Mus musculus: one gene and its partners. The protein of the gene in region 1 purifies or fractionates together with the protein of each later gene. This does not show direct contact. Links are inferred from orthologs where the notes say so. Each region holds a gene or a part of one and is shown in the gene's direction. Other genes may lie near its edges.

Region 1 (4,298 bases):
TTCCACTTTACCCAGGACTTCAAAAGAAAAGGCAAGAGAATTGTTAAAAGTTCAAGGCAAGCTTCCTCTACAAAACAAATTCCAGGCCGTCCATGGCTACATAATAAAACCCTGTCCCTCAAATAGAAAAGAAAGTAAGCCTAGTGCATGCCTGCAGACATAATCTTTTTGTTTGTTTGCTGTCTTTTTGGGGTTTTTTTGTTTTGTTTTGTTTTTTAAGACAGCCTTGTTTATGTGCCCCTGGCTGTCCTGGAACTCACTCTGTAGACCAGGCTGGCCTCAAACTCAGAAATTCACTTGTCTCTGCCTTCCAAGTGCTGGGATTAAAGGCGTGCGCCATCATGCCCAGCTAAGTGATTTCTTTTTAATTATGTGTACTTAATAATGTATGCTACCTATGTGTGAGTATGAGCCTATGAGTACTGGTACCTTCTGAGGCTACGAGAAGATTTCAGGTCCCCTTAGAGCTGGAGTTGTGAAATGCTAGTGTTAGTAACTGAACTCAGGTCCTCTTTGAGAGCTTTATTTTTATTTACATGTAAAAAAAAAAAAAACCGTTATTCTTATTTTATATGTGTGAGTGTTCTGGCTACAGCTATGTCTGTTCACCACAAGGGTGCTGTGTTCATGGAGGCCAGAGGGCACTGGATCCCCTGGGATTGAAGTATAGATAGAGAGTTGAGTCAGCATGCTTGTGCTGGGAATCAAACCTGGATCCTTTGGAAGAACAATCATATCCCCAGCTGCCTAGCCTTTCTTTTTATTTTACAAGCATGGGTGTTCTGCCTGTATGTGTGTTTGGGTACCACTCACATGCAGTGCTGAAGGAAGCCAGAAGAGGATGTCAGCTCTCCCTGAGCTGGAGTTACAAAGAAGAGTGTGAGCTACCCTGTGGGTGCTGGGAATTAAATCCTGGACCTCTGCAAGAGGAGCAAGTGCTCTTAAGGACTGAGCTATTTCTTCAGCCCCCAAATTAAATAATAATAATTTTTTGGTTTTTTTTAAATATGTGTAAATGTTTTACAGGGTTGTATACACAGCCCAGGTTACCCTGGAACTCACTTTGTAGCTGTGGCTTAGCCTTAAGTTTAGAGATCTGTTTGCCACGGCTGGGTTTAAGGGCATGTGGTAAAAGTCAGACCTAAAATAACTCACATTTTTTGGTTGGTTTTGGTTTTGGTTTTGGTTTTGGTTTTGGTTTTGGTTTTAGTTTTGGCTTTGGTTCTTCGAGGCCGGGTTTTTCTCTGTAATCCCGGCTGTCCTAGAATTTGCTTTAAGTAGGAGGGGAGTATGAACGGTGGTGGGCAGGCCTGAGGGGCGGGGCTTCATGTATCCCCGCCCATGACGTTAAGACTCAATCAGCGCTGCGGAAGCGACCGCAGAGAAGTGGTGGGACTTCTGCAAGTGCTTCCGGAGAGGTCTCTGCGTGGGAAGTTCTGGGCGCTGCGGGCCAAGCTTCTGCAGAAGATGTTTTATCACGTGAGCTGGATGCGGGGTAACTGTGAGGGGCAGTCACAGGAGGATCCTGGAGGCCCGGAAGGGCCGACAGGTCGCCTCCTGTCCTCAATGTGGCTGGCTGAGTCTCCATCTTCCTTTCTCTGCAGATTTCCCTGGAGCACGAGATCCTCCTGCACCCACGATACTTCGGTCCAAACTTGCTCAACACGGTGAAGCAGAAGCTGTTTACCGAGGTGGAGGGGACCTGCACTGGGAAGTGAGTTTCTGCTTCACAGAGAGGTCTGCTGAATGCACGCACAATGGCGCTAGTCTCTAACCTCTTCTTAACTCCTTCTGTCAGGGCTTGTCGCTTACTCTGAGGAACCCTTTCACCCCTCCAGGCACCTGAAGCAGCCAGTTTTTGCCTGTTTTAGACACTCTGAAAAGCTACTAAAGAAAATTTTCTTCCCTTATGTGAGATAAGACCGTTATTATGCAAATGTTTTTGAGTTTTGAGATGGCCTCACTATGTGGACCAAGCTGGGCTCTAATTCAGAGATCTGCCTGCCACTGAGTGCTGACATTAAAGGCTTTCATCACAATTCTCTGACTCGTTTGTGGTTTTTGAAAGACCTGTCTCAGCTTTGACCCTGGCAAGTCCTCCTGCCTTAGCCTACATGGTACTGAGAGAATAGGTGTATGTCAGCATATCTAGGCCTTCTTGGGCATTTACTGTACCATCATGAGAGCATCATTTAATATTTCATGTGCTAAGCTGGTCGGGGGTGGCGCATGCCTTTAATTCCAGCACTTGGGAGGCAGAGGCAGGTGGATTTCTGAGTTCAAGGCCAGCCTGGTCTAAAGAGTGAGTTCCAGGACAGCCAGCGCTACACAGAGAAACTCTGTCTCGAAAAAACATATATATGTGTGTGTGTGTGTGTGTGTGTGTGTATATATATATATATATATTTAGGTGCTAATCTGTGTCCTGTCTCTTCTTGATCAATGAACCATCTGAACAGAGGTTCTTTCACACAGAGACTCTTATTGCTGGTGGCTTTTCAGAGGCTCTTCACATAGCTGTCTTCTTTCATTTTTCATGCAGATATGGCTTTGTAATTGCTGTCACCACCATCGACAATATTGGTGCTGGTGTGATCCAGCCAGGCCGAGGTTTTGTTCTTTATCCAGTGAAATACAAAGCTATTGTTTTCCGGCCCTTTAAAGGTGAAGTGGTGGATGCTGTGGTCACTCAGGTCAACAAGGTAAGAGTATTATTCATAGAAAGGTTATGGGGTATTTCCTAAGGTGAGGGTTCAGTCCCTAGTCCACTTACTAGTTGCCTTAAGTCTTTTGTTGTTGTTAAGATTCATTTTATCTTAGTTTTTTGGTTTTTCTTTTCTGGTTTTAGGGTTTTCTTTTTTCTTTTCTTTTCTTTTCTTTTCTTTTTTTTTTTTTTTTTTTTTTTTTTTTGAGACAGGGTTTCTCTGTGTAGCCCTGGCTCTCCTGGAACTCACTCTGTAGACCAGGCTGGCCTCGAACTCAGAAATCCACCTGCCTCTGCCTCTCAAGTTAAAGGCATGTGCCACCACTACCCAGCAGGTTTTTTGTTTGTTTGTTTGGTTGGTTGGTTGGTTGGTTTGATTTTTTGTTTGTTTGTTTGTTTTTGTTTTTAGAGACAGGGTTTCTCTGTGTAGTCCTGGCTGTCAGTTTTGTACTTTTGTTTTTGAGGCAGGGATTCACTGTGTAGCCCTGGCTGTCCTGGAACTTACCCCATAGACCAAACTAGCCTTAAACTCAGACATCCACTTACCTCTGCCTCCTGAGTGCTGGGATTAAAGACACGAGCCACCACCACCCAGCAATTTATTTTAATTTTAACTATGTGTACTTGTATGTTATCTGGGGTGAGTGCAAGCCCATGAGTGCTGGTACCTTCTGAAGCTTCAAGAGGGTTTCAGGTCCCCTCCTACCTGGAGTTGTGAGACCCTGGATATGGATGCTAGGAATTGAACTCAGGTCCTCTGCAAGCACGGTTATGCACTCTTAATTATTTAGCCATCTCTTCAGTCCCTTAGGTCACTTTTTGGTTCTTCACTTTCCTTAACTGTCTTTCCATCTAACTTAGCTGGGGGTGTCTTCTGAATTACAGAAGTAGTCGTGCTACAATAGAAATCTGCATTGACTGAGTCGTTACTGTTGACTGATAGTATGCAAACTACCCCCTGACTCTTTTTTTTTTAAGGGTTTTTTTTTTTTTAAAAGATTTATTTATTTACTATATGTAAGTACACTGTAGCTGTCTTCAGACACTCCAGAAGAGTGAGTCAGATCTCGTTATGGATGGTTGTGAGCCACCACATGGTTGCTGGGATTTGAACTCAGGACTTTTAGAAGAGCAGTCGGGTGCTCTTACCCACTGAGCCATCTCACCAGCTGCCCCCTGACTCTTTCTTTCTCCACTCTCCTCTCCAGACCTGAAGATCAAACCCAGGGTCGTACAATTCAGCTAAATTTCCAAGCCCAGGCCTTTCTTCGTTTATTTGTTTGCTTTTGTTTTTTTGAAACAGGGTCTCACTATGTAGCCAAGGCTGGCCTTGAACTCACTTTGTAGCTCTGGCTAACTTTTTTTTTTTTTTTTTTTTTTTTTTTTTTTTTTATTATATGTAAGTACACTGTAGCTGTCTTCAGACATTCCAGAAGAGGGAGTCAGATCTCATTATGGATGGTTGTGAGCCACCATGTGGTTGCTGGGATTTGAACTCCTGACCTTCGGAAGAGCAGTCGGGTGCTCTTACCCACTGAGCCATCTCACCAGCCCTCTGGCTAACTTTAAACACACAGATTTGCCTGCCTCTGCC
Region 2 (4,665 bases), on another chromosome or scaffold:
CAGTCTTTCTCCTTTAATCTTACTCCATACCTCTTTATGACTCCTTACTCCCTGACACATGCTTGTGGTTTGGTCCTGATACCAAATCAAGGCGGAGTAATTTTTGTCTGCTTTGCCATCATTTCCCTAATCCTAAAACAGTTCTTGGCACAGAGATATTAATTTTAAATGATGAAACAGGCTCCTTGCCTCAAAAACCTTTCCGTTGAGTTGGCATAATTAAAATGAAGTTCCTGTGTTCAATAGGAATACATGAACGTCCAATCTTCTCAAAAGATTCACACAGGCAGATGAGAATGTAATGGTTAATTTTTTAAAAAGATTTTCTTTATTATTATATCTAAGTACACTGTAGCTGTCTTCAGACACACCAGAGAGGGCGTCAGATCTTATTAAGGATGATTGTGAGCCACCATGTGGTTGCTGGGATTTTAACTCAGGACCTTTGGAAGAGCAGTCAGTGCTCCTACGTGCTGAGCCATCTCTCCAGCCCATAATGGTTAATTTGAGGCTGTGCTAATAAACACAATACTCAAGACTCTTGTAAACTGTAACGCACAGGGCAGTGGTGGTGCACGTCTTTAATCCCAGCACTTGGGAGGCAGAGGCAGGTGGATTTCTGAGTTCGAGGCCAGCCTGGTCTACAGAGTGAGTTCCAGGACGGCCAGGGCTACACAGAAAAACCTTGTCTCGAAAAAACAAAAACAAACCTATAACGCATTACGAAATTGTGATGTTACTACCTAGCAAAGAAGCCACACCTTGTCAATTACTCTTTCCTCGCTTCGAAGACTTTTCAGAGAAATTTTCGTTTAACTTTTATTCCCTCTTTCTAGAATGCAGTCGGTCGGCTGGCTGTGAACGGTGTCATCGCAGTCGGGCGTGTAGCATAGGTTAGTCAAGGAGTGCCTAGAGAACAGCTAACAGGGCCTGACGCATGCGCGTCTTCCCCCACTCCGCAAGACGTGCCAGCCATTTTGTCGCGTGTAGGTCCCCGATGGCGGGGTGGCAGGGAACGCAGCTGCAGCTGTCAAAAACAGTAGCCACAGAACGGTGGGCATTTCCCATCCTAGTGTGAATTAAAGGCTCCCAGGGAGCAACCCCGCCATGAAGCCAAAAGCAGGGCCGAGCACTGAACTGGGGTCTAGTAACGTCCTAGGCTCCGGAGCGCCTCAATCCTGCCTCCCCAGGTTTTCCTCCCAACCCGCTAGGCGCAGACCTAACGCGCAGGCGCACAGAGAGACGCAGCGCCTCCTCCGCCTTCAGGTCCCGACGCGCTTCTCCGACCCCCTTCCCTGATTGGTCGAATCGCAGCGCCATCACGCCCCCTCGGCCCCCGTGCTCAAGATTGAGGAGGAAGCGGAGGGGCGGGGCTTCCGTGCGCGTGCGCATTTCTTCTGCTGGTCTATTGCTGCTATTGCGTTGCAAAAAAAAAAAAAAAAAAGAAAAAAGAAAAAAAAAAAAAAGAAAAGAAAAAAAAAAAAAGAAAGAAAATTTTCTGCCTAGGTAGCTTTGGGCCTTTCCTGTGGTAGAAAATCTAAAGGCAAAGCTCTCTGCAGCCGAAGGGACGGCGGAGTAGCGTTTCGTCTTCGGTACCAAGGCCGCCCTGGGCTCACCGGAATTTGGCCAACGGGATGAGGGAAGGGCCTTAAGAGTTGAGGAGCGTAGAGGCTAAAAGCCTTAGTTGTCGGCGCCGTCGCAGGTTCTGTCTCCTCCGTAGTCGTCTCCCGACTCCCGGTTTAAACACCACCCCCGAGCCATACTGACAGTCCTCCGCGGCCGCGGCCCCTCCTCGCAGCGTGTGGGAGCCGCCAGCGCGCCCAGCAGCTAGCCCTCCTGCCGCCAGAGGAGCCTAGCGCGTGCAGCGTCCCCACCCCCTGGCCGCCCTCCCCTCCTGCTGCTTTCACGCACTCGCACTGATTGTTTTGCCCGCTCCCGCCGCCGCCGCCGCCGCCGCCGCCAGAGGACCAGAGGCGCTTGTGCAAACCGGGGAAGATGGCGGCCGGCGGCGGCGGAGGCAGCAGTAAGGCCTCCTCCTCGTCGGCCTCGTCCGCAGGGGCCCTGGAGTCTTCGTTGGATCGAAAATTCCAGTCGGTGACCAACACCATGGAATCCATTCAAGGCTTGTCGTCCTGGTGTATAGAAAACAAGAAACACCACAGTACAATCGTCTACCATTGGATGAAGTGGCTCCGGAGATGTGAGTGTGGGGGCGACTAGGAAGGGGGAGGCTGGAGAGATGGAGAAAATGCGGCCCCCAAAACACTCTGGGGTTTGCCCACCGAGCTGCTGCATTCAGTTGGGGTTCACATTAAAGATCGGGCGCGAGTGTTCCCTAGCCCAGACTCCATCCTAGGCACGGTTGCCCTGCTCTGCAGGGGGCTCATTGCTTGGAATTTTTCAGCCTCACATTTGGCGTGACCTTGGGCCGTTGGGCCTAGACCCGTAGAGATTTTCGCGTTTCCTTCCGAGCCCTGGAAGGTGTGTTGTTGATTATCCTGAACCTTCACGGAAATGGTCGCGTCCGTTTATTTCTTACAGGCCTTGACGTGTTAATGATCTCTGGGTTTCCTGTTGGCTAGTCAAGCCATGGTTTAAGCTGTCCACTTCCCTGAAATATGTTAGACCAGGCAGTGTTTTCCGCCGACGTGAAACTTGGGATATGTCTAGAAAGGGGCCTTCTCTTGATGACTGTGGGTGAAACTTGGCGTGTGTTTTAAGGAGGCTTTCCCTGGATGAATGTGAAGCAATAGGAACTCTACAGAGCTGTGAGGCGACCACCTGTTTTCCTTTTACCTGTGTTTGCAACACTAAAATACAGACCACGGGATACTGACGAGACACAACTGCGAGACTGTAATCATCATTGGTACCGAAGTATAAAATATATCCGGCCACTTTTTAATCTCCTGAAGCACACTTTACAGAATTGAGTTTGTTTGCATAGGCAATCAAAATGGGAAATGTGAATTTTAAAATATATTTATCTGTTTTAGATATAACCCCCATCTCAAGTATACTTTTTTTTTTCAACCTGTGTGGTTCTCCCCACAACACTGCTTTAATACAGAAAAGAGGTCTTCTAAAATATGAATTGTTAAACTGGGCGTGGTGGCCCATGTCGTTTCAGAGGCTGAGGCAGGAGGATTGCTGAAAGTTTGAGGCCAGCTTGTTCTACCCAGTAAATTTTAAGCAATTATAACCCCAACTCCATACATATTTATTCAAGTTGTTTGCTTCCTATCTATATAGCCTCTTGCCAGTGGTACTCAGTTAACAGTTTTCTTATTCCATGTCTGTCTTCGCTTCTATAATATTTTTTGAGTTTACTTGTTAGTGAACAAGTGGATAAAACTTCAAAATTATAGGCCCCAAATTTAAAATCTTTTGTATTTAAGACAGTTGTTCTGTGGTTCTTTGAAATATACTGTTGAGAAGGATATTCGAGAGAAAGGACAGGATTAGCTAGTCTTTTTTATTATTATTATTATTATCATTTTGGTCTTTTGAGACAGGGTTTCTCTGTATAGCCCTGGCTGTCCTGGAACTCACTCTGTAGACCAGGCTGGCCTCGAACTCAGAAATCCACCTGCCTCTGCCTCCCGAGTGCTGGGATCAAAGGCGTGCGCCACCACACCCGGCTTAGTCTTTATTTATTATTGTCAGATTTTTTGTTTGTTTGTTTACTTCTTGCCAAGAGGTTAAACTAGAATCTGCAATATCTGTCACCTTCAAAGACTCACATATTATGTATCTGCCACATGCCAGCCATTTCCTTAGTCCTTCTAATATACTTTATAGTCTGTTGAATTGCATATGAGGAACCTAGGGCTCAGAAATGTCAGGTTGCGAAAGGTTACTCAGTAAAGCGATGTGGTTAAGGTTGGGCTCTGTTGTTAGCTTTGTGAGATGGTGCTTGGTGTATTGAGTGTATCAGTGTAGTAAGCAGTGCTGATGTGGGGACATCTTCCACCGTTTTAAATCATTTTACCAAACTATGAAGCATTTTTACATTCCTTACTGTTGGTCTCCAGTGTTTTAACCCTGTGGTTATATATTTTCAAGAATAAGTTGGCCCCTATCTCTGCGTTGTGGGATCACAAGTGACAATTACACTTTTTTTTTTCTAGTCAGGCATAATGAGAAATGCTAGGACCAGAATTTTCCCTGTCTTTGTTGTTGTTTGTGTCTGAGTTTATTTCCTTTGTTGGTACTAAGAGTAGGAGGGTAATTTTTTTATCTGAAAAGTGGATTCTACATAATTTAAATGAAGTGAAATGTATTTGACTTTTTAAAGCCTGCTATCAGTTTCATAGTGGAGTGAAACTTAAACTTTCTAAAATGGCTAAGAATAATTTGTGGACATTTGTGTTTACAGGTGATAAATATCTACCTCAGGAATAAAGCCAGAGTGGTGAAGGCTAGGATGCAAATGGCTGTTGTATTAGGCCAGTATTTTCACCTAATGTTTAGACCTTCACAGAGTTGCTAAGTTTGCTCAAGCATTCCCAGTCTTTCTGTCCATTTCCCTGAGGCTACTCTTGCTTCTTCCTTTTCCTATGACATCCATTATTTAGTCATTTAGGTCTTGGTTAAATGTAAGTGACTGTACTAGAGATATCAGGAGATGTTTTCTTTTTTGTTTGTTTGTTTGGAGACAGGGTT
Region 3 (4,623 bases), on another chromosome or scaffold:
GCTGCCGCCGCTACCGCCTAGGGGGAGTCAGGAGAGACCAAGGGGTGGGTTATGCTAATAATACTGCATAAACATGAGCTTTGGCCAGAGGACACGAGTCTCCGGATGCTTCTGGAGGAGGCGAGGCCAGAGTGAGGGAGGAGCTAGACTAATAAGGGTAGGGGAAACAAGGTTGCAAAAACGGGGAATTCCAAGAGGGGTGGGGATATGCTAATGACCCTGTGTCCACCCTAAGCACAGCCACGAGCTCTCCTCCTGCAGTCCGCCTTTGGGAGGAGCTATGCTAATAAACCCCATCTTTGGGCGAAAAAGTTTTCTTCGGGGCGGGGATATGCAAATTAAATGTTGCGGTAGTTATTATCTAAGGACCACTGTTTCTGGTAGGTGTGGCTTGGGGCTCCTTCTCAGGGCCGTATATAGGGAGATCTTAGGACAGCACAGGTCTCAAAATTAATCTCCGCCTCCTCCCTGGGATTGTCGCCAAGTTCTCTGCCCCAGCTTCGTTCTAGAGGCTGGCGTCTCGGCCTGTCTATGGACTTAGGCTTCCGGTTCCCGCTGTCCCAGCCAAACGGAAGATAGACTGGGAGGGGAGCTGGGGCCCTGGAGGGGGACAGCAGGGTAACTGGGCAGGACGGGCTGTGAGATCACCACATTCCTAATCCATGAGCCAGTTCATCCTAGTCGGGAAGTCCGGGTCTAGAAGGGCCGACAGCCAGGATTTCTGGGCTTTGGAAGGATGCGGTTGATAGCTCAGACACTGGTTCCTACGAGAGTATTGAGTTAGAGACTTAGATTTCTCCGGTCCGACTCCGGTCCAGGGGGTCGGGAGGGGCTCCTTACTACTACTGGGAAAGCTGGGAGTCTGGACTCATGGGGCCAAAGGATGGAGAGTCTGGGGACCCAGAATTCTGAGTTCGAGGGCATGAGTGCTCCGGGAGGGTTGTGGAAGAATTTAGCACTTACATTTATGTAAGATATGGTATTGACGTCCTGAAAGGGAAGAGGATTGAAATTCCAGAGTCCCAAGGAAGAGGGAAATGAGTCTTCACTCATCTGCTCTGAACCAGAAGACTCAGAGTTTGGATTTTCCTGTCCTGAGTAAAGGAGCTCTGGTTTGACTCCTGAGTTCTGAATTTAATGGAGATTATTTTAAGTTAAAGCCTATTCTGGACATCTTAGAATGAACTTATCTCAAAACAAACAAACGAAAAGAGGACTATAGATATAGTTTAGTGATAACATAGAACGTTTGTCTACCATGTATGAGCATTTAAATTCAATCTCTAGTTCCCCCCCCCCAATAAATAATTTTAGAAGCTGGGCATGATAACTGACGAGTCCCAGCACTGGGGAAACAGAAGCAGAAAGACAGCAGCAAGTTCCAAGCCCGTCTGAGATACATAAGACAGCGTCTCAAAAAAATCTTCTTAGGATTTATAGGAGAAAAAAATTAGAAGGGTTTCATATTCAGAAAGGACGACCATGGGCGGGGTAGCGTCCATCTTAATTGAACTACAATTCCCATGGATCTCAACAACGGAGCGCCTTTTTTACATCACTTCCTGATCCGCCGCCTTTTTCCCCGCGCACGCAGGACACTGAGGGGGGTCGTACCGCGCGCTCCAGCAGCCCCGCCCACTTCACCTCTCACCCCGTACACTGTCCCCCGCGTGACGGAGTCTTCACACGGACTACATCTCCCGGCATCCAGCGCGCGCACTCCACCTCCATGTGACGCATTGATTTCTGGGAAACGGAGTCGCCTCCGGTGCTGCCGGCCTTTCGGAAACCCAGCTGGGTACTTGAAATCCCGGCAAGCGCCGCGGCAATTTGGTTCCGCCCTTCCCCAGCTCAAATCGCGAGCCCCGCCCCATTCCGCCCCGCCCCGCGCCGGGACCGGAGCCGCAGCCCGAGCGGCGGGGTAAGATGGCGGCGGCGGTCCGGGCCGCGGGGCTCGGGCCTATCGGGGTGGGCGGGGCGGAGTCGGGTCGCTAGTCGTCTCCGAGTGTCGCCCGTATGCCACGGGGCCTGGAGAGCGTAGCGTGGCACCTTCGGACCCGGCTGCAGCGGCCAAGGCAGTCTCTGAGTAGGGGGCCTTCTTAGGGCCCCGGACGCGCCCGTGGGTGCCAGAGGGCTTTCGTATGGCCTGGACCGCGACTAGGCCGGCCCTCCTTCCCATTGCTGAGCCTGGACACGTCTGCAGGCGCCGTAGATGGTTTTTATGTGCGACCGTAGGCTAGGGTCTGTTGAGAGGCTTTTGGGGCCATCTTGAGATCTTCACTCCCCCAGGAGTTAAGGGGGTCTGCAGAGTCACCTAGTTCACTGGGGTGTATTTGTTAGGGCTGGGAAGTCTCTCCTCATGCTGGCCTCTGCATTCGGCTCATCTACATGGATCTGGGACCATTTATGAGGCCTGGAAGCTCTCTTCAAGGACTAGGAAGTGTTAAGGTCCACCTGGAAGAAAGAGATGTACTCCCACCTAGGGAGAGGGAAGCAAGCTTTGTGATGTGCCCAGAGGCATAAATGAGTCGCTAAGGTCTGGGAAGTGTTTTATGTGGGGGTGACTCGGAGATAGGGGTGGGTGGGGTAGGGTGGGGTAGTTTGAAGGAACTAGAATCGTCCAATGATTGCAAGAATACAGTCTATGTCTTGGAGGAAATTCAAGTGCTTTTGAAGAGTAGATAAATGTGTAGAGAATAATAACAGAAAACGCTGGGAATTTTATCCAGCTCAAATGTACTTGCCTTTCAGAAAGTAATTAAAAAGAAAATGGTTTCAAACAAAAAAGAACCTGTGTTGTCCCCATGCTGAGGAGTTAGAATCATTCCTGAGGGTCTGTAGAGCTGTCTGGGATCATCTAGTGCAGTGCTCTGCAACTTGACCTTGATAGGAAGGGAAAAAATGCATTATTCGATGAGATTAAGTGCATGCCAACATATGTATTTTACTAATATTACTCCAGTCCTGCAAACTCATGGTTCCATTTGAAACTTGGAAAGTATTTTCCATTATGTTTTATGTACTTTGTGTAATGAGCTGTTTGTGAATCACTAAATTGCTCCCAGAGCCCTGTAATTGAGGGATCACCGATCTCACATGGTCTGCAGAGCCTTACAAGGTCTATGGTTTTGGGGATCTCCAAATCTGCAGCCAGGATCTCTTGGTACAATTTCTTTTCTGTGACAGTCAGTGCTTTGGATAAGATGTGTATCAGACTGTGAGAGAGCATCCTCAGAGCTGGGAATTATTGCTATACAGGGTAGGAAAGTCTTGAATGTTAGCTTAGAGAAGCTTGGATATGGTAGGGGGGCCATCAGTAAGGTATGCCTGAGGGAATCAGGAAGAAGCTGAAGGTTTGGAGAGCTGGAGCTGGGGGGGGTTGTGGAGGCCAAGGTATAGTTTCAGAGTAGGACTGAGACCAGGGCTGAGGCCAAAAGGCGAAACCTGGTCGAAGGGCTACTGATAGAATTATTGCTAATGTGTATCCAGCCATTTATATGTGGAAACCAGTGTGAGAGATACTACTATTTTGCCATTTTCAGATAAGCGCTAGTGTGGTTTAGGGAGCCTAGGGCTTTTAGGAATTCCAAGATTAGGTGTTTTCAGAGTAGCAGGTTTGACAGCTGTGGGGAGGTTTACAGCTGTGATGTTCATGTTTTCTGAAGCCTCAATCAAGACATCCACCAGTCTGAAGGATGCTCTTTCAACTACCTGACTGGGCACTCAAAGCTCAGAATTCCCGTGACATCACCGAGGCTTTGGCCATGCTTCCACAGGACAGGCAGCTGGGTGATAGGCAAGTGTCCCAATGGGGCTGGGAGGACAGCATGCCTTTCTGAAACTTGGCATTTTTGTTTTAAAAGCGGTGTGGTGGTTATGTAGATCATACTATCATAGTTGTATCTCGTGGCTGTAAATAAAGCTCTTGGGCTCCTCATCATGGAGGATAATGAATGCTGTGTGAACCTACGGTACCTGTTACAGAGTACCCCTGAGCATGTCGGCACATTCCCCGCTGTGGGGAAGGTGGCTTTCTGAGACTGAAGCACGACGCTCTTAAAATCATGACACCCGAAGTCAGGGTTGAGTTTGCATCTATTTGACTGGGTTGGGTAATTAATTGGAGGTTTGCCTAGGAGCATTGGGAAGCTGTGGGCAGTGGAGGGCCAGGTGTTGGAGCAGGTGGCTGAGCGGTCCTCCCATTGATGGGGAGGCAGCCGAAATCCAGAAGAAGGATAAGAATGGCTCTAGTCCCTGCAGGTCAGCGTGGGACCACGGACAAGGTCATCAGGAATGAGGCGGAAGAGAGGGACACTAAAGCAGGATGCACTGGGGGCCCTTGAGGTCTTCCTTCACCTCTGACCTGCCTCCCTCAGCCTTCACTTCAAACTGTTGCCTCAACCCCAGGTGACCATGGAGGAGGAAGATGAGTCTCGAGGTAAAACAGAGGAGTCGGGAGAGGATCGGGGAGACGGTCCACCTGACAGAGATCCTGCCCTTTCTCCTTCTGCCTTTATTTTGGTAAGAAAGCTGGGTGCAGTGAGGCCTGGAGGCCTAGGTTCTCATGCTCTGAAGTATGGGCTGGGGGTTCAGGCCCTGAACCAGGCCTTCAGGAAGAATTGG
Region 4 (4,464 bases), on another chromosome or scaffold:
CCAAGGTCATCGGAGAATCTCCCCATACAAAGCTTCAACTTGCCAAATTGCTGATGCCACAGCCAGGAGTTGGGTCAGTAATTACAGGTGTTTACAGCCAATCTTTCCAACCTGAATTCCATCTCTGAGACTCACATGGTGGGGAGTGAACTAACTGAACTGTATGGGTACTGCCAGAAAAATAATGTTACCTGAATCCCTGCCAGAAAGTAACACAAGCCAGACAGTGGTGCCCAGAGAGGGCCTGAGTCAGGAAAGGAGAATCACTATCCATTTGGTATGGTACGTTGCTCACTGATCCTGGAGCTCATTAATTTGGCTAAGCTAGCTGGCCACTGAGCTCCAGGGATTCTCCCATCTCTAGCTCCCTAGCACTGGGATTATAGGCACAATCCACAATGCCTGGGCTTTTATGTGAGGGCAGGGGTCTGAATTCTGGCCCTTAAGTTTGTGCAGCAAGCACCTTACTAACTGAGCCCTCTCCACAGCCTGCACATGTCATAATAAAATGAGATATCTATGTATAGATATATACAAACTTTTTGTTCTTTAAGAGTTTTATCCACGGGGGCTGGTGAGATGGCTCAGCGGGTAAAAGCACCCGACTACTCTTCCGAAAGTCCGGAGTTCAAATCCCAGCAACCACATGGTGGCTCACAACCACCCATAATGAGATCTGACTCCCTCTTCTGGAGTGTCGGAAGACAGCTACAGTGTACTTACATATAATAAATAAATAAATCTTAAAAAAAAAAAAAAGAGTTTTATCCACTTTCCAAGAATGTCAACAAAACCCAGGGCCACCCTTGACTCCTAGCCCTTTACCTCACTCTTAAAGGGGACTTTTTAGGAGTTTTCTGGTTCCCTTGAGCCTTTGGTTCACCATCTTTTCTTCTTCCCTTGGACAAATAGCCATACAGATGAGCAAATAAGACATTGGTCACAGTCTCTGTCATACAGGGCTTTCCCTCATGAGGTTCGTCTCCCTTCCTCTACCCATATCTTCCGGTATTAATTATTCAGCCACACTTCAGCCACAAACGCTGTAAGGTTCTTTAGTCCCCTTTGCATTAGGCAATGATTGCCAGAAAATGTATCTTCCTCTGTTAAAGTACAGTATTCATGCTATCTTTCAAGTGTTACGCTAATTTTTACCTAATATTTTCTAGAACATAATGACGTTTAATTTTTTTCTTCTTCTTCTTAGACAATAAAATAAAAGGTAGAGCAACACCTTTGTTATAGGATCCTGACAGATCCTGGCTTGGGAATCCCACCTCATTACTCCCTTGGGGACACGAGCTTAACCCTTTCCGGGTCCTATCTCACTCCTGTCAACCCTTCCTGGTTCCCTACACTACCCCTCACTTGTGCAAAGCCACTATAGCATCAAAGTGACCCCTGCAAGTCAGATGCCAAAAGCCGGTCAGGCACCCACTGCAGTAGGTTCGAGCGGTTTGGATAGTCTGGCCAATCGCAACCCTAAACTCAGAGAGGCCGGATCGTTCGACCAATCGTAGCCCTGTACGCAAGAGGACGGATTTTCCTACCAATCGCAGCCCGGAATTCAGAGAGCCCGCAGGCCGCCGGGCGATCCCTGAGTGGTGGGCGTGGCTGAGGAAAGATGGCGGCGCCCGTGGCTCCATCCGAACCCCAGGCTTCCCGGGCTCCTCAGCCCCCCGTGTGTCTGTTGGTGTTGGGAATGGCGGGATCCGGGAAAACTACCTTTGTACAGGTGACGTGCACCGTGCAGAAGCGGTAGTGGCGCCTCAGGCCCGGGAAGAAGGGAGGAAGTTGTCTGGGGAATCTGCGGGTCCGGGCGCGTGGTTTTCTCGAGCTGTCCTCTGACTCCTTTCCTTCCCGAAGCCTCGAACCCTAGCCTGGGTCACTTGAGGCCGGCTCCTGGGCAACCTTAATGCACACTTGGTACAGCTGAACTTGTCTTGCTGCGAATTGGCAGCTTTCCGAAGGCCCGGGCCTAAAGAGTAGGGGAGTGTAACGTCTACTACTCTGGTTTGCGTGAAGAGTTGTGAAAGAATCACTTCGTTCGACCTACCACGTTCTAAGCTCTGAGAGTACAGCGGCAATGAGATCGACAGGGTTCTTGCTTTCACGGAGTGAGTGTTTTAGTGGAGGAGACAGAGGAAGAAAACCCTTGGAGGGGCAGAGTTAGCGAAGCCGTGACGGAGAATAGGGAGACAGGTACTGGAACTAGATGGCTTTTTAAACTCTTCAGTGTTGAACACGCTGAGGGAAGAAGGAGATTGTTACAGATTTTATAAGCATGGTCAGTAAAGGGATGGGAATTCTCGGGGCCCGTTCCTATCCTTTGGTCATCACCCTCCAACCCTGGCTCCTTGTTTTTGCAGAGGCTCACAGGACACCTGCACAACAAAGGCTGTCCACCGTATGTAATCAACCTGGACCCAGCTGTGCATGAAGTCCCCTTTCCCGCCAATATTGGTGAGTGCCTGCCTGCCTGCTTGCTTGATTTCCTTTTCTTGTCTTTTCTTTCTAAGCTAGCTAACTATGTACTTTTCTTTTCTGTGGATTTGCCTGAGTTCCGGAACAGGCTTCTTGCTTATGCAGATTTATCCCTCTTATGCACTATCCCCGCTCACCTCTCTCTCATGCCCTCGGTGTGTGAAACCGTTGAATTGGTTTGAGAATGAGACATGACATTAGGTCGGGCTGTCACCTGACACGTGAATCCTTTGGTTTCTTTTGTCAGAGTTTATAAGATTTGCTGTAATTCACTTTATAGGCAGGTTCCTTCCATTTCCAAAGTTGTGTGTGTGGGGTGTGTGTGTAAGAATATGCACTGTTCTGAGGAGAGCTTTCTGATTGAGACTATCAAAAAGATTTAAGTATTGGTGTGATCCAAGGGAGCCTGAGGCAGAATATTTAGAGTTCAGAGTCAGTCCGACTTGCATAGCCAGACCTCGTTTGGAAAAGAAAAGGTGGGCGTGGGGGTAGATTTGTTATCAAAGTGTCTGTGATCCACTAACAGGGCTCTTGGATGTCCAGGCTTCCTGACTCCTAGGCCTTAACTGTCAGGGCTAGGGTATGAAGCTTTCTTACCCCAAATACACAAATTGGGTAGGGAATCTTGTTTTGAGAATCATAGGTTAGGTCAGGCGGTGATGGCTCACGCCTTTAATCCTAGCACTCAGGAGGAAGACACAGGCAGATCAGTTCTAAGACTGCCAGGGCTACACAGAGAAACAAGAACAAACAACAACAACAACAAAAATCATTGATCATTTTGGGATTATAGGGCAACAAATTTTCTATTTAAACTAGAGGATAAATATGTGATATTATTAATTTACAGACTGGTGGGTAGGTTTGTTTTTATTCATTTTTATTTAATGTGTATGGGTGTTTTGCCACATGCGTGTCTGCGTCTGTGTGTGTCTGGTTCCTGCAGAGGCCAGAAGAGGGCACCAGGACCCCTGGAACTGGATCTACAGAGAGTTGTGAGCTGCCCTGTGAGTGCTGGGAACTGAATCTGGGTCCTCTACAAGAGCTTCAAGTGCTCTTAATCACTGAGCATCTCCAACCCCTGGGGGGTAGGTTGTAGTCGTTCTTAGTAGACAGGCTTATAGTTCCGATGTCTGTGAATTGCCGTCATTACCATGCAGCCACTAGTAAGAAGTCTTTGCTTATTTTGTTTTTGTATGTTGGTATTCCTGTGCATATGCCCACTGCCACTGAAATTGTCCAAAACCTGTAATGTTGTTCTAGACAGTATCTATCATAGCTAAGAGCTTTTGGCCTAACCTTTTCTTTGTTTGAGACAAGGTCTCTCTGTGTGGTCCTGACTGTCTTGGAATTGCTCTAGATTAGGCCAGTCTTGAACTCACAGAGATCCACTTGCCTCTGTCTCCTGAGCCCTCGGATTAAAGGTGTTTGCCACCACGCCCTGGAGCGAAACATTCTTCCTGGGGTACTACTTGGCAGTTATCTTTAGTCAGGAAGAAAGTGTGGAGGAAGGGATAAGAAAATGCTGGTAAGATACGGTGGCACTTGTACAATCTCAGCGCTCAGGAGACTGAGGAAGGAGAGCAGCTCGGGCCACCTGGGAAGCGCAAAGTCAGTCCAGACAAGTGAGGTCATGCTCTAAAGTAAGCCGTTCTCTCTTTCTCTCTTTCCCCCTCAGATATCCGAGACACAGTGAAATATAAAGAAGTCATGAAGCAGTATCCTTTTCCTCATCTGCTGCGAGACTGACTCGGTCATGGCAAACTGCTGTCTTTCATTGCTTTGGGGGAGTGGCTTTGCCTGTCAAGTTGTGACAATACAAGTAGAAAACTCACGTCCTTTTAGGTAATCGTATTAAGAGGATAAGATGAGGGCTGGTGAGATGGCTCAGCAGGTAAGAACACTGACTGCTCTTCCAAAGGTCCTGAGTTCAAATCCCAGCAACCACATGGTGGCTCAAAACCATCCGTAAAGAGATCT

What was found.
Region 2: the proteins of Polr2g (region 1) and Rprd2 purify together in Homo sapiens (affinity purification with mass spectrometry; 3 studies listed by BioGRID and IntAct, counting the BioPlex papers as one, with this or other methods). This does not show direct contact. The link is inferred for Mus musculus from reciprocal best matches to the Homo sapiens genes POLR2G and RPRD2.
Region 3: the proteins of Polr2g (region 1) and Scaf1 purify together in Homo sapiens (affinity purification with mass spectrometry; 3 studies listed by BioGRID and IntAct, counting the BioPlex papers as one, with this or other methods). This does not show direct contact. The link is inferred for Mus musculus from reciprocal best matches to the Homo sapiens genes POLR2G and SCAF1.
Region 4: the proteins of Polr2g (region 1) and Gpn1 purify together in Homo sapiens (affinity purification with mass spectrometry; 4 studies listed by BioGRID and IntAct, counting the BioPlex papers as one, with this or other methods). This does not show direct contact. The link is inferred for Mus musculus from reciprocal best matches to the Homo sapiens genes POLR2G and GPN1.

Annotation. Positions count from the first base shown.
Region 1 is NC_000085.6:8,795,640-8,799,937, reverse strand, and holds the start of Polr2g (DNA-directed RNA polymerase II subunit RPB7), read left to right. Parts: upstream 1-1,380; 5' UTR 1,381-1,467; coding exon 1,468-1,479; intron 1,480-1,604; coding exon 1,605-1,714; intron 1,715-2,542; coding exon 2,543-2,702; intron 2,703-4,298. UniProt on the Homo sapiens protein: Core component of RNA polymerase II (Pol II), a DNA-dependent RNA polymerase which synthesizes mRNA precursors and many functional non-coding RNAs using the four ribonucleoside triphosphates as substrates.
Region 2 is NC_000069.6:95,816,082-95,820,746, reverse strand, and holds the start of Rprd2 (regulation of nuclear pre-mRNA domain-containing protein 2), read left to right. Parts: upstream 1-1,793; 5' UTR 1,794-1,995; coding exon 1,996-2,200; intron 2,201-4,665.
Region 3 is NC_000073.6:45,013,378-45,018,000, reverse strand, and holds the start of Scaf1 (splicing factor, arginine/serine-rich 19), read left to right. Parts: upstream 1-1,751; 5' UTR 1,752-1,921; exon of another isoform or gene 1,922-2,536; intron 2,537-2,596; exon of another isoform or gene 2,597-4,407; 5' UTR 4,408-4,413; coding exon 4,414-4,521; intron 4,522-4,623.
Region 4 is NC_000071.6:31,493,149-31,497,612, forward strand, and holds the start of Gpn1 (GPN-loop GTPase 1), read left to right. Parts: upstream 1-1,592; 5' UTR 1,593-1,624; coding exon 1,625-1,735; exon of another isoform or gene 1,736-2,284; coding exon of another isoform or gene 2,285-2,287; intron 2,288-2,369; coding exon 2,370-2,463; intron 2,464-4,162; coding exon 4,163-4,202; intron 4,203-4,464. UniProt on the Homo sapiens protein: Small GTPase required for proper nuclear import of RNA polymerase II (RNAPII). May act at an RNAP assembly step prior to nuclear import.